Styela clava: one gene and its partner. The protein of the gene in region 1 purifies or fractionates together with the protein of each later gene. This does not show direct contact. Links are inferred from orthologs where the notes say so. Each region holds a gene or a part of one and is shown on either strand. Other genes may lie near its edges. The genes, in order: COP9 signalosome complex subunit 4-like and denticleless protein homolog B-like.

Region 1 (7,123 bases):
GTAGGATATGGGGCCTTATTTTCAAACCTACTCGAGTCTGAAGTCGATATTTTGAATTGTACAGAGTTGGGAGTTGGAACTACGGATTTTTATAGGATGGTATCGGAATTTAAAATTCGAAAACAATTGAAACTCATGAACCATCAGGTTAAATAAACATTCTCAACAAAGTCAGCGGTTCCCAAAGGGTGCGCCGTGGCGATTTCTAAGTGCGCCCCGAAAATTAACATAAATATGTTAAATATAACTAATATATGATTGAATACTCCACTTCTGTTGTTGTATTTATTAAAAATGTTTTGTTTCTTTTTTTAAATGCTGTTTATATGAATAAACAAATAATACATTTCACATTTCTATGCTGTTTACTTTCTGTTTCATAGTGTCTGCCTTTATTGTCACGCAACAATAGAGGTAGACACACAATGCAATGTCATGAATTATCTGCTGTACAGAGTTAACGAGCATGGGTGATTTTTTTAGTATTGACTTTTTGTCTTTATTCTTCAAGCCTACACATGTTTACAATCTTCAAAAGACATAAAGTACACATATGAAAGCAGCAATTCTTTTTCGATGGCGCCGCACAAACAAAAGGTTTGGAAACCGCTGAGGTAATGAATTGAAAAGTTTTCATTATGAAAACTTGGGTTTCTTGCAATTCAAGGCTAGAGTAGGAAGTCAAGATTTCGTTCAACCAGTCCGAGGTATGAATCCGCTGTAAATTTATCTTTTTTCTTTATCTATATAGTAAGAACCTCACCTTATAATGGATTTGTAATTGCTCATTTTTGGTTTCATTTTGTAGCATAGATGCTCTATTGATATAGGTTTCTGCCTGTACTGGATCATCATCTTCCAAAAATAATCTCGCAATTTTCAAGTATGTTTCTAACTGAAATAAGAAAGTACAGGTATTATACTTAGAAAAAAGGCTAAATGGGGGTCGCAGTAAAATCTTTTCTGCACTAACTTATGTTGAAATAAAATATCAGTCACATTTGGAAACAAATGGAGGCAAGATTTGATCTTTGGTGCGAGAATTTTATTATTTTTTTCAATATTTTCTGTATTATTAAATTTTACTCATTTCAGTTCCTGGGGGTTGCAAAAAAATTAGCTGTGCCAAGTGGATTGTGATGAAGAAAGTTTTAAGAACACTGGGTATCGTATCTCACTGATAACAAACTAACCCAAGGCGAATAATAATTGAGGGAAATTTCAATGATGAAAAAAGAAAAGTCATGTTCAGACCCATAATCACAGCCATATAGTTCATTATCAACTTTTTCAAGTTACACAGCTGAAACTGGGTATTTCATATTTTGAAAGTTACCTTATAATCATGATCATATTGTTTCTGTCCTGATTCAATGTTAATTCCAACAAGAATTGTAGCTGCGTCTTTCCATGATTCTTCATCTTCATAAACTTTTGCTAAATGTTGTCTGATTTGAGCAACCTGAATAGTATTTTAAAGATGTTTTTATGAGACGTGTACCTTTATATAAAAACAAATATATGAAACCTTGATAGGTTCATGAACTTGAGTTCTTATTACATTATTTGAATTTGAAATTTAAAACATGTAGCCTACTACTACGTAGATACATTTTGCCTGCACGCTAAAACTACCCTGATGCCAGGGAAGGACACAGTTTTAAACTTCATGATAGATAACCATATAGCCAACTAAACAGAATAGGATATATATCAGTTGGTTTAAATACCATTAAAAAAAAAATTGATGTTATATTTCAAGGAGTTACTCCAGGTGTAATAAGGGTGAAAGAAAAAAATAAAAGGGGGTTCAAACACAGACTTAATTTAGAAAGGCATAGGAATGATAACAAATATTCATGCTAAACGACTGAAAATAGATTACATCCCAGTTTATATCTAACCTTTGTCAATCATTTTTCATGAACTTGATAAAAATACCTGTTCTTCGAATGAAATTACTCTTGGTTGAATTCGATCCAGTGCAAAATGACAAACTTCTTTACACATAGCATTATTAAGCTGAGATAGATGTTGGCAAAATTCTGTCATCAATTGACGAGATACTATTTGACTCACATTTTCATTCACCACTAAAAATCAATAAGAACTAAAATAAGGTAAACGGATAATTACATATAAAGGGCCTAACATGCATATATTCGCAGTACTCAAGTTGAAATTTATATTCAGCAATACTAACTTGCATCTATAAACATCTTCAATGCGGAAACTTTTTCATTATCAACCAACTTGAAGCATGCTTCTAATATGTGTTGATATCTGAAATGTATAAAAATATAGACATGTCCTGAAATATGTTTATTTATGATTGATGACTAATACACAGGCAGACAGGTGAAGGGATTGCAATAATATTTTCAAGACTCCAATGCATTTACTGTGAGCTAGCACAGTTCTTTGTCTCTGTTACTATCAGATTACCACACTTTTTCTATGGACTGAGGAAAATATGCCGTTTGATAAGCTTGAAAATTTGAGGAAAGGAAGAATTTATTTTCACAAAAAAACTTGAAAAAACAATAATGGAAGTACACATTGCAGCATTGAGAAATACACATTGTCTGTGGAGACAAAACATAACCAGAAGCAATTTATGAATAGAAAACCTATGTCATTTTATAATAATGACAGAATAGTAGAGATTGAGAAAGTTTGAGGGCATAAAAATGTAAAGAAAGTAAATCTTATCCCAACTAGCCCAAAGATAACGGTAAATATATTAATTCTATACCACCAACAGCAAAACGCAAGAAAAACATGGATTCCTTACTAGCTTAACTAGGTAATTGTATATCAGTATATTCAGATAAATATTGAACAACTTCAAATGAACAATATGCCAAGGCAGAGTAAGACAAAATTGATAGATATCATTTGAATCATGTTAATTGTGTGATTCAATAAAATACATTGCTTAGTCCAGTAGTCAGAAGATGATCACTAGTTACATTTGCAAGCATAAATTTATCTCACCTTTCAGATAAATCTCTATGTGAACTGCTGGCAGCATTATTGAGAACAGCTAAATCAGCGCGAATGTTGGCTGCCATATATCTTTTTATTCGGATAGACTTTTTCTCTTTAACAGAACTGATAATATCGGAATCAAGAACTAAATTTTTCTACATACTCAATAAATGCTCAAATCCGTTGAAACTCTCAGGACTGAAAATTTATATTTAGCAATAGAGTAGAGGGGGTGTTTTTTCTATGAAGCACTAGCAGTGACTACTGAACTGAGAAAGAGGAACGGAGGTTAATTTCCACAAACTATGCGATTGTGAACACTGGAATATAATACCGAAAAATATTGAAGAAAATTTCTGGTGTCAAAGGTCGGGGAAAATACATTTGTACAACACAGCGTGGTTGCAGTTAATGGTTGTAACTGGTTTTCAAATAATAAAATAGAACAATTTAAACAAAACTTTTAACTTTAAGTCAATAACTAATATTCCCAACACACTTTTCGAACTGAAGAACCGAAGCAATAATCGCAAAATCGATCAAACTGTTTTTGTTTGTTTTATGGGGATATTTTGTTACGTATATTTTCTATCAATGTATATGATGTCTATCATTGCTACACTAAGAATATTATGTTAATTAATGGACTTGAACCTGCCACCCTGTTGTAATTTTCAAACATTTATTGGTGCTTATTCCTGTCGAACACGAGACCAATCGCTCATTCTCTGCTGCTGGCGTATGACTTCGTCTACACGTCTTTGGTTTTTACGCGTGTCGTAATGTCGTTGACTTGGTGTAGTTCTGCTGCAGTTGGAGAAACAGGGTGTTTTGGGGGATACGATACGATAAGTTATTATATGTTTCGTTACTGTAGAAATTTTTGAATCTATCGTTATCTGTCATATATTTAAAAAAATTCGATTTATGTTAGTATAGTTAACGTTAGCCACACGACGGTGAGGTCAGGATAGGTTACGTTTATCAAATTATTACTGTAGCCTATTATTGTTTGTTCATCCTGTCTCCGGATTTCATAATCAGTTCTTATTTATTTACCAATCATTTTACTGTTATGCTGATTATGGAGTCGAAATAAACTTATACTTACAGTCTCGATTAAACCTGTAAACGTTTGCGAATTTTCGGTTGGGTTTGCTTTTTTGTACCAAGACCCCAGACTGGATTCCATGGCAGGTGCACGCCCGAGGGCGCTAGCGCTCCGCAAAAATGCACGCGAGCGAAATCAATTTTGCACGCCGAAAATTTGCAATTGCTCACCAATGTAAATCGGTTTAAATGGTTTTAAAATCAATAATCCAGTAATATAAAGATGCCAAAATATTATAACTCCACAATTGTCGACAAATACCAGCTTGCAAGATTTGGTCTGATCGAAATATTGCGAAGCAAAAAGACAATGGACCTTTCCCCAACCTTTGACCCGCGAAAAATTCCTCTCATTGTTACGTCCTTTTTTGCATCTTGCTGATTGGCCAAAGCCACGAAGTAAACAAGGAAGTCGATGCTCGGGGAAAGGTCCATATCGTGTTGAATGATAGGAAATAGGAATCCCGTGAGAATAGTTATGGACGAAAAGATCGCCTCCGCACCAATGGCCAAGTACGGCTCTGATTCAGCGTATTTTTTATACAATAATTTTACACGAATGTACTGAACAGTACCGGTATCTAAAGTTGCTCAAACACTCCCAAAATTAGTGACAAAGTATGAAAATAATGTTTGGGGTCAAAGGTCAAACGTCCATTTTGCTCTAATTTGACGTATTTTTTATCCATTAATTCTACGTAAAAACACTACCAAAATTAATGACTAAGTATGTCCATTTTGCTCTGGTTCAACGTATTTTTTATCCAATAATTTTACGCGGATGTACTAAACAGTACCGGTATCCAAAGTCGCACAAACACTCTCAAAATTGGCGACAAACTGTAGAAATAATGTTTGGGGTCAAAGGTCAAACGTCCATTTTTTCTCTGATTCAACGTATTTTTTATCCGATACCGGTAATTTTACGCGGATGTATTGAGAGGTATCTGATGTCGAAGTCAGTTGCACGCGAGTGCAGTTGTTTTGCACGTCGTGAGCTATAATTGCACGCCAGGAATTCTTATTTGCACGCGGGAATTTCTGATTGCACGCCCGATTTCTCGTTCAAAAAGGCCATGAAATCCAGACTGGCCAAGACCTGATAACTGGATAACAGAGTTCAAAATACCATATCCTATTTCAGTATTTCATCATACTAAATTTGAAACAAAAATATTATTAGCTGAGCATGAAGATTGTTATTTTCCCAAAACCTGTAAGTTAAATCAGCCTTTCAGAGTTAGTTCCAATTCTGCAATAAGATCAGCATATCATTTTCTATTCAGGCCCTTGAGTATGTGAGAATGAGAACTTAATTTAACTTTTATTGTATTATCAGGGATCAAACATGGGCATTTTCTCTACTGATTTTTATCTGTATTTATATATTTTTCTTTTTTTTATTTCCTAATTTTATTTCTCGTTTTAGATTGAATCATGATAATTCTCCAGTAATTTATGTAAGCTGTTTTCAGATTCAAATTTACTTCAGTAGGCTACTTTTTACAGTACCTGGGGGGAGGGGGAAATTGATATTTTTAACATTGTAAGCCCAATAACCAATTTGACATAATGATCTTTTTTTCCTTGTATATCTGTAACATATCTCAGTATCTTGTTTATATTTTTTTCCTAGTGATCTTGCCATCACCATTTTATTTATGTTTTTTTCCTTTGAAATTGAAATTTTTATAGATTTATATTTGAATTCAGGTATTCTCAATCATATATCTGTATATGGGCCATTCCAAGCAAATGTTAAATTTCATCAATTTATAAAAAAAAGTAATTGTGAAAAAAGTGAAAGTAATTGTTTTGTATATTTTATATCAAAAGACAATTGAAGGTTATTGGACTGCATTCATTTCATGGATAAATTTAAAATTACACCCAGGTTTTTGATAATTTACACAAAGTGGCCTGAAATAAAGAAATTTTGGACCTCCTGAAGGAGGCGCAGTTCTTACCACTTCATGGCAGCTCCTGCCACGAACGTACCACGCCGTCTCCTGCCATGGTTTTATGGCGCTATTACCGGTATATTTACAAATTCATGTACCATATTTTAGTTTATCATGCGAAATTATATCTACTTAAACCCTAACCCCAAATCCATCCAAACTGTATCCATAAGAAAAACATTCCAACTCACCAAGTATTTATCACCATCAGCAAATTAGGGGCAGCCCTGCTATTACAGCCGACCTGCCGTGGTTACGGCAGTAAAATTGGTGGTATTCGATTTGCTGCCGCAACCACGGCAGCTCGCTATTGGTTTGTGGCAGCTAAAAAGTCAGTCGCCGTGGGTTTGGTCTTAGTGGCCATGGTTTGGAAATCCCGCCATGGTTTTGCGGCAGCTGTAGACGCCACAAAATACTTGAAACTGCACTTGTCCTGAAGTGTGCGCACCAAGATGGCGCACAACCTGAATTCAGATTGTGTACCAGGTTAGGGTTCAGGTTATGCGACATCTTGGTGCGCATACTTCAGGAGCACCGAAATTTTGATATAATAGGCACGTTTTGTGATGAATCGTAACATGAAATGTTTGATTATGTGGTACAGTTATTTAATTTCAAATACAGAAATAGATGCACTGAATGCGCTGCTCCTAATGCGCTGCGTGCAATGAGACTTTTAGGGTACCACCACTAATGGAACTTAAGTCAATAAAGCCTAGGTGTTTGCAGTGCTGTAGGACATGTCTTCATCTATCTAACAATTTATTACCAGAATTTTAAGAGATGATAGAGGGTGCTGTTCCAAAATGGGGCAAATGTTCTGTAGAGTCATGCCGGTAGAGTAACATACATTGTGCCCATTATTGGCATGGATCTACAGTTTTACATTACGGTAAGTTACTTATTAAGCAACTCATAGAGGGGTTCTTCAGCTACTGCACCATCAACACAGTAAAACGGTAATGCATGGTGGATTTGCTGTCCTGTGGAGTCTCGCTATATTTTAATATATATTTTATATCCACTAAGTAAGTCTTGTATGTAAGTTTTGTGCAATTTTG
Region 2 (7,771 bases), on another chromosome or scaffold:
TATTCAAACATAAGATGTCAACTAATAATGATTCAACTTTTAAGTCTTCGTGCAATTGCTGGTCGGGGAGGCCATTCTCTCTATGTAATTTTAAAGGTAGATAATGCTATATTACAACAAAAACAAACATCTTATGTACGGTATCTATGATTGTTTCTGGACAAAATAAACTAGATTTCATGAAAAATACTTGATTTCTATGAATAATTCTTGAAGTTGTGTTGCTTTAGTTTCACTTTGCATAGATTTATCAAAAGTGGTAAATTCAGCATTGTATGTGCTGGGTTTACGTTTGAAAAGAAGACATACTGCAGTAGTACTTATAAAGTTTTATAACTGTCGATAAATTTTCCAGAATAAAATAAAATTTGAATAAACATTTTCCTTTCATTTCGTCAAATTTAATCCAGTATGTAGTGGCCCTCTTTTGGTTTTTAATGTGAAAGTACATATATCATTCGCTCATCAGCAATGAATTTCAAAAAGTATTTTGCGAGTCGCGACAATAAAACTTACTATGGCCAATTGTCCAGTGTCTACCGCTAATGCTCTTCTTCGTTTTCTCATCGGTGTTAAAGAATCATTAATCACATGAGCATCCTGGATTCTAACAACAGGTTGTGATGAAGTTCGACGATCCCATATCAATGCATTCCCATCTCTTGATCCTGTTGCTAGGAGATCTGTTGAACAATACCATAAATAGAGTAAAGCAGAACTGTGGAGTCTGGAGTCGTAGTTTCAAACTTGAATGTCAAAATTCTGCATTTTATGATGTCAGAATTGCATATTTCCAAGGTGATAAAATAACAAATTCTACAGAACGCCAAAGTTTTCATTATCAAAATTGCACTTTCTCGGAGTTCAATGCTGGAGCCAAATCTTTCAAAACTATGAATCAGGAGTCTGAGCCAAAATTTTGTTCATCTGAAAGTTGATTGTAAATGTTCTCAGAATCCACAGCTTGTTTTCAAGATACAGAAATGCATAAATTGTAATCGGGATAAATAGGCTAAATTGCCATCAGGAAAGGCACAAATTGAACCTTGCATATATGTAAAATTTTCTCACATCGAAAAAAACATAGATGAAAAATACTTCTTTCAAAATGATCACATGATTGACATGAATAAATAGATAAAAGAAAAAAATGTGTTGGGGGGAACATTGTGCTTGAACAGGAATAGATTCAATGAGGATGTTTGATTGGATAACATACTTACTCAAATTGTGCTTAGACACATTCACAGATTTCAAACTACAACTGTGTCCCTTGAAAACAGTTATGACTTCTCCTTTTAGTGTGTCCCATAATGCAGCTGTTTGATCACCAGATGCAGTTGCTAGAGAATGTTCGTGAGGAATCCATGCAATATCAAATATAGCATTGTTGTGTGCCTCAAGTTTATGCAGTGGCCTCAATACTTTATCAGCATCATTTCCCAGTACTGGTTCATTAGCAATGAAAAGAGATACGATTCCATTTTCATCTGCCACTGCAAATGTATGCTCACTGCCGGAAGCTTAAAAATAATACTTATTGAAGTTAAGAAATCCATGCCATGTATTTGTTTTGGTAAATGAGTACAATCTTGATAATACCCCACCACTGATTTGAATGTTGATTCTGATTATTTCAAGCAAGCTTAGGATAATTTAAAGGCAAGGCAATAATCTAACCCAAGATTTAGCCTACATATTCATCCTGGGAAGGGTAAGCCGATAAGACGGCTTCATCATATGGAAAACCACGGGCTCTCGTCCAGATACCAGTCCACGTCGAGTATGGGATTAGCCAGTTATTTATTTTCCGAAGCATGGACTTGATGGTGAAGGAAGCTGTAACCGACCAGCGGTTACGTTGACCACCCTACAGCGGCGAGGAGTCCAGCAATCCACTCGCACATAACTATTTCTGCACGGGATTCGAACATGCGAACCCTCGCAAGGTAATCAGAGATGTGGTAGCAAGCGTATTGCTAACGCTTGGCACGATGCGCCACACCGCCAAGCCGAAATCAAATTAGAAAGGGAAAATACCAGAATAAAGACCTAAAATGTAATCAAATAAAATCAAAAACGAATCACTTAAAGAAAAGTTGTGGAACATACCTGTACAAAATTCAACTGTGTATGGGGGTACTTCCGGCTGAAACAAATAAAAATAATCTATTCTAAAACATGTAATATTTTTTGATATTGAAAAATTGTGTTTTGCATAAAAATCGCTGAAAGCGATGTTTGTTTTTTCCAAATACCAGATTAAACTAATTGTAATTAAATTCGTTACCTCAAGTTCCCCAGGAACGACATATTTCTGATTATTGGCACAAAATATGTCTTGCATGTGATGTTGATTGAAACTATTGACAAAATCTAAACAAGAATCGTAGAAATATATTAAAGCAGATGAAAAATTACAATAAGATGATATCTGCAATCTATATTATATTATAATGTAATTTTCAGATTTTGTAAAATAACGTAGTACAGCAGTACGGTATCAGGCGATATTCTGATATTTCATATCAGTATTACGTTCAAACAATTGGAAAAATCAATATCTTCTACCTTATCTTCGTCTCATGATACTGTCAGACTGTGACATACAGTCAGACAGTGTACTTGATATATTTAAATCCGAGCTGCAATGAGACCAAGAATATTTGCAGATTTATTAACATTGTGTCATCACATCACGGAAAGTTAAAAAAGGGATGGCATATGATATGAAGAAATACCTGACCTTTTTCGTTATAGTTGACGCATTTTCGATATCTCGTATTTGACATTCCAATCTGACGAATAAATGTTAATTTTCCCACGTTAAACGCCATGACAGCATAACATGCAAATTCCACTTAATACAGAAGATGAAATATAAGATAGAGCTACAGATGCGGTACCGGTAGCGTGGTTTAAACGCGATGCTGTGACAGCAAAATGCAAACAACTGAACACAGAAGTAACCGGTAGTAAAAAGTAACAGAAGTACCGTGATGGTGGCAATTATGTAGGCTACTACACAGAAGTAACCGACGGTAAATCACCAAGAGAAAAAAAATCGGCGTCGGCGCCTTCCGTCTTTGCAGCGTTTGGATTTCCCGCTGTTCACGCGAATTGTCGGGTCATGGGTCATACTAATTACTGAGAAGGACAGTATGGAAACAACAGAACCAACTTGAGAGAGTGCGCGATATATTGTTTCGTCAACTAGAAAACAAGCATTGTAACAACAACAATAAAAATATACAACATACACAAAGTTATTCGGTACAAACTATATATATGTATATGTTGCGTATTATAAATTTACGGTTCATGAAACATGTCGCACAACTGTGTCTTACACCAGTAAGGTCTTGAACACGTATCACGGTATAACAGCAGTTTAGGATTTCTGCGTAATAGTTGGGCAACAGACATGAAATTGATGAAACATACAAATGAATCTTTAGTACAATACACAAAACAGAGAGGTGCAGATGTACCAGTATCCGTTTGTGTTGAATTCGTAGTCATTTTCCGGGTTGTTTAGGTTTGGCATAACTATATACACACACCAATTGTGTCAAATTTAAATGCGGTTTTTACGATAATGTAAGATATAGAGTGTCCCGATTGAAATATGTCCGTGATTTCCATTTTATTTTTTCATACGACGCTTACTCGCATGCTTTGCTCCGAACAAGGCCCTGTGGAAGCAGTTACATATATCGATATGTAAGGAGCTACTGCTATTTGTAAGAGCTAGAATCGTCCCGGTTCGAAAATGCTTATCTAATTTATTGCACTCCATGCAATGCGATACCAACATCAATAAAATTAGAGCCTACTTCACCTATGCAATAATATATATGCTTAATTTGCATATGTTTTTGCGAAAACTATAATGATGTCAGTTCTCATAAATTTTAATATGTTAGATATACGCTGACGTTTCATATTTTACTGACATTAGAGGCATAGTGGTATTTTCACATTCCGTAAACTGAGACGAAAAAGGCTAAATTGTAATAGTCCCAACTAATTCAAACTTTATCCCGATATCAAGTCTTGTTCTTTTCTACCTAGATCCAGTAATCGGATGAAACGTCACACTCCTGGCATAAACGTAGACATTTTATTTTCACCTATCTTTACTTTTTCTTCAGTGTTATTTTATGACAATTAAAAAATGCTGCAAACAATCTGATAAAAAACAGTATCAGATAAAAAAAAAATGGACATGCTTTTGAAAAAGAATTAGTGCATTGAGCAATTTCAACGAATATTGATATTTCCTCTTGTTTTTTATCCTGCGAACATTATGCCCACCACTGAGCCTTCCTATCGCCTCGTATGGGTAGGCCTATATTGCGCCCGCAACTAAGCGTTGGTGATGAATCGTCTGTCGATCTTTTAGGAAAAACGATACCCGAAAAAATCTCCTTTCGCGCATTTATCGGATTAATCGAATTTAATTTTTCAGTACTTAAAATGGAGAAGTCGCCAATAGCCTATTACTATTAAATACAGTTTCAAATTTTATCTTACTGTGTTTCTCTGAAATATTTCTTTCGAAAAATAACACTAGGGCTTTATTTGAGGGGATGCTTTTTATTTTAATTTATTAAAAACAAAATTACGAAGTAGAAAATTACGAGGTTTTCTAATATACAAAATTTGAAAATTGATTGCCATTTACCTACAAATAACACGTTTTAATTCAGAATAAATGCTGAACATAGATTATTAATCATTCAAAACGTGTATGATAGATTTCTTGCTATGGACTAGGACTCAGCGTTTCTCCAAACTGTGTTACGCAGCGTCTTCCGAGTGTTCCGTGGAAAATGAATCAAAAATACATCTGAAGTGGTCGACATGACGATCTCGGGATCGCGTGAAGTTGTCGCCATACTGACGACCGTTTAATATCGAGTCACCGTCGGACTAACTTCTTGAGGGTAGTGGTATTTTCGTTAACCGTCGGCCTAGCTTTTTGACAAGTTCATTATTGAGTTTACAGCAATCTTTTTGGTTTTGCAATAGGCAAACATCGCTAAACTCGATCCAGCAGATAAATAAACTGCATCTTGCTAAATTGCAGCAAATATCTCTATCTCCATTGTTACGTAACATTAGAGGCAAACATTACGTAATGGAAAGGTAAAATGAATTCATTGATTCATATACACAGCATTTAAATAAGAAACAATAAAACATTTATAATAAATGCAATATGTAAAAATTCAATCATATATAGTAGGTATGTTAATTAAGTTTTCGGCATTCTATTGGTAAGTGATTGAATATTTTAAATCAAATAGTTGCTTTCAGCTTGTAATCAACTTTTAATTATTGCAACTAAACTGAATGTCTTCGGAAGGCATGATTCCAAATAAGACATTTGATTTACAACTATTTTTCGGAAACACAACTGAAAACTGAGAAATACCAACACGCAAAACACAAAACGAGGCAATGTTTACAACCATTCTTTAATATCTGTTTGAGCCAAAGAAGTGTCTGAGTGGCCGCATAAATTCCAATTGTTACTTCAATGTTGCCGTATTGCTGATTGGTCATTGTTACGGCAATAAACAAGGAATTCGATGTTCAGGGAAACATCCATTCATTTACGGGCAAGATTAAGAAATAAATCTATGGGGTCAAAGTTCGGGGGAACAGTGACCAAATGAGAATTTGCTTTTTATCGGCGTTGCAAATACGCAAGGTAATCACAAAAAGTTTCTCAATTATCTTGGCAAACTTTTAAATTCAAAGATTATGGCTTCCATGAAACAAATTTGCATATTTGGAGGAATGCATGGCAATGAGATGTCCGGTGTTCATTTGGTGAGAAAATGGGAGAAAAATCCAGAATCAGTTACCAGATCAACCTTCCAAACAAAAATGTTAATTGCTAATCCAATTGCTGTGAAATTGGTTAGACGGTATAAGGATGTGGATTTAAACAGGCAAATGTCTCCTGAAAATTTTAAAGTTGAAATAAATGAAAACACACCCTATGAAGTTAGAAGAGCAAAAGAACTGAAAGGAATGTTGAGTGAAGGTGGAGAAATTGGCGAATGTGAATTTATACTTGATTTACACAATACAACAGCAAATAATAAAGTTAGTCTCCTTCACATGGAATCGAATGACTTTAATATGCATTTAATGCATTATGTATCAACACATTTACCAGAGGGAATGTGTTATATTATGTCCCTTGCTGGCAATGTGAGTTATGATTCTGGTAGAGGATTAGGAAAATATGGGGGAGTTGGTATAGAAGTTGGTCCCCAGCCACAAGGTGTGTTGCGAGCTGACATAATGTCTTTGCAAGAGTCATCAGTTCACTTTGCTCTTGACTTCATTGAAAACTATAACAATGGTGAGGAATTTCCAGAAGTCAATTTTTCAGCATACGAAGCTGTTACAAAAATACCGTACCCACAAGATGTGGAAGGTCATCTTACTGCAATGATTCATCCAAGTCTTCAAGATCAAGATTGGAAATTGTTGACGTTGAACGATCCTGTATTTTTGTCTTTTGATGGCAATGTTCTTTATCTCAAAGACGTAATAGAGGATTCGAGTAGCGGTCCATTTTACCCAGCGTTTATTAATGAGGCAGCATATTATGAAAAAGGCATTGCATTTTATTTGACCACTCAGTATAATGTATGTGCTAAAAAGCTATCGAAAAAATCATTTGAATTTCAGTGAATATTTTTTGATTGCCAGTTATCTATTCAAGATTAATATGTATGTATTCAAGAGCAGGGAATTATTTTTTTATTATAAAATTGCAGTTTCTATGAATTAAAATGCATTATGCTATCTGTTTGTCTGAATATGTTAATATCTGTTTCGTTTTTGTCCAGTTATTTTGCATAAAATATTGCCAAAACCATTGCATCTTTAGCATGGTGTGTTTAATTACCTATTAACAATTGAGTATATTTGAGTAAGTTAGGAAAATTGGAACAATTCTTTCTGCACATTAATATTGAATTCCTATCTTTCCTTATTAACGAAATGGTACAATAAACCAAAGTATTTGCTATTTAAGTATGACCTTACAAATATTACATTTTAGCAATCATCGATCATATGTGCCAAAGTGTTTTAATTTACTTTTAATCAATATTTTTCTCCCTAATAACCCTTCATAAAATAAACTGACAATTTAAAATTATGTCCTACCTTTTTATTAACTAGTTCAAATTTTGCAATAATTCGGTACTTCAATTGTGCAATATGATTCGAATTATATATTATTATCAGCATGTATCATCAATCATATATATTCATATGATTATCATATAAACATATATGATTCAAATTATTGATAATAAAACGAGGTGTTCATTGTTACAATCTCAATGTTTTCCAGTATTTAGAAATTAATTCGATCAATAAAAATGGATATTACCAGGCATAATTTCAAGGAAACGTATGAAATTGTTGAAAAAGCAGTTTCAGAAGCAAATTTTGTTGCCGTGGATGGTGAATTTTCTGGAGTTACTAATTCAACGTTCAATTTGACTAATTATGATTCACCTGAAGAAAGATATCACAAGTTAAAGCATAATGTCGCTGATTTTTTACTTATGCAGTTTGGTAAGTGTACTGTAGCTATCTATTATTTCCCACTTTTGAATACATATTTCGGCGCTCCCGAAGTATTGTACCAAGATGACGCACAACCTGAAAACCCCTAACCTGGTACACATACTATGTTCAGGTTGTGTGTCATTTTGGTATGAATACTTCTGGA

Evidence for each region.
Region 2: the proteins of COP9 signalosome complex subunit 4-like (region 1) and denticleless protein homolog B-like purify together in Homo sapiens (affinity purification with mass spectrometry; 3 studies listed by BioGRID). This does not show direct contact. The link is inferred for Styela clava from reciprocal best matches to the Homo sapiens genes COPS4 and DTL.

What each region holds. Positions count from the first base shown.
Region 1 is NC_135260.1:11,660,705-11,667,827, forward strand, and holds the start of COP9 signalosome complex subunit 4-like, read right to left. Parts: upstream 3,294-7,123; 5' UTR 3,075-3,293; coding exon 2,998-3,074; intron 2,284-2,997; coding exon 2,204-2,283; intron 2,094-2,203; coding exon 1,942-2,093; intron 1,463-1,941; coding exon 1,337-1,462; intron 896-1,336; coding exon 764-895; intron 1-763. UniProt on the Homo sapiens protein: Component of the COP9 signalosome complex (CSN), a complex involved in various cellular and developmental processes.
Region 2 is NC_135253.1:12,719,382-12,727,152, reverse strand, and holds the start of denticleless protein homolog B-like, read right to left. Parts: upstream 3,021-7,771; 5' UTR 2,838-3,020; coding exon 2,747-2,837; intron 2,377-2,746; coding exon 2,291-2,376; intron 2,150-2,290; coding exon 2,113-2,149; intron 1,524-2,112; coding exon 1,224-1,523; intron 684-1,223; coding exon 517-683; intron 1-516. Other genes in the region: aspartoacylase-like, read left to right, coding at 5,773-6,717; poly(A)-specific ribonuclease PARN-like, read left to right, coding at 7,416-7,614. UniProt on the Homo sapiens protein: Substrate-specific adapter of a DCX (DDB1-CUL4-X-box) E3 ubiquitin-protein ligase complex required for cell cycle control, DNA damage response and translesion DNA synthesis.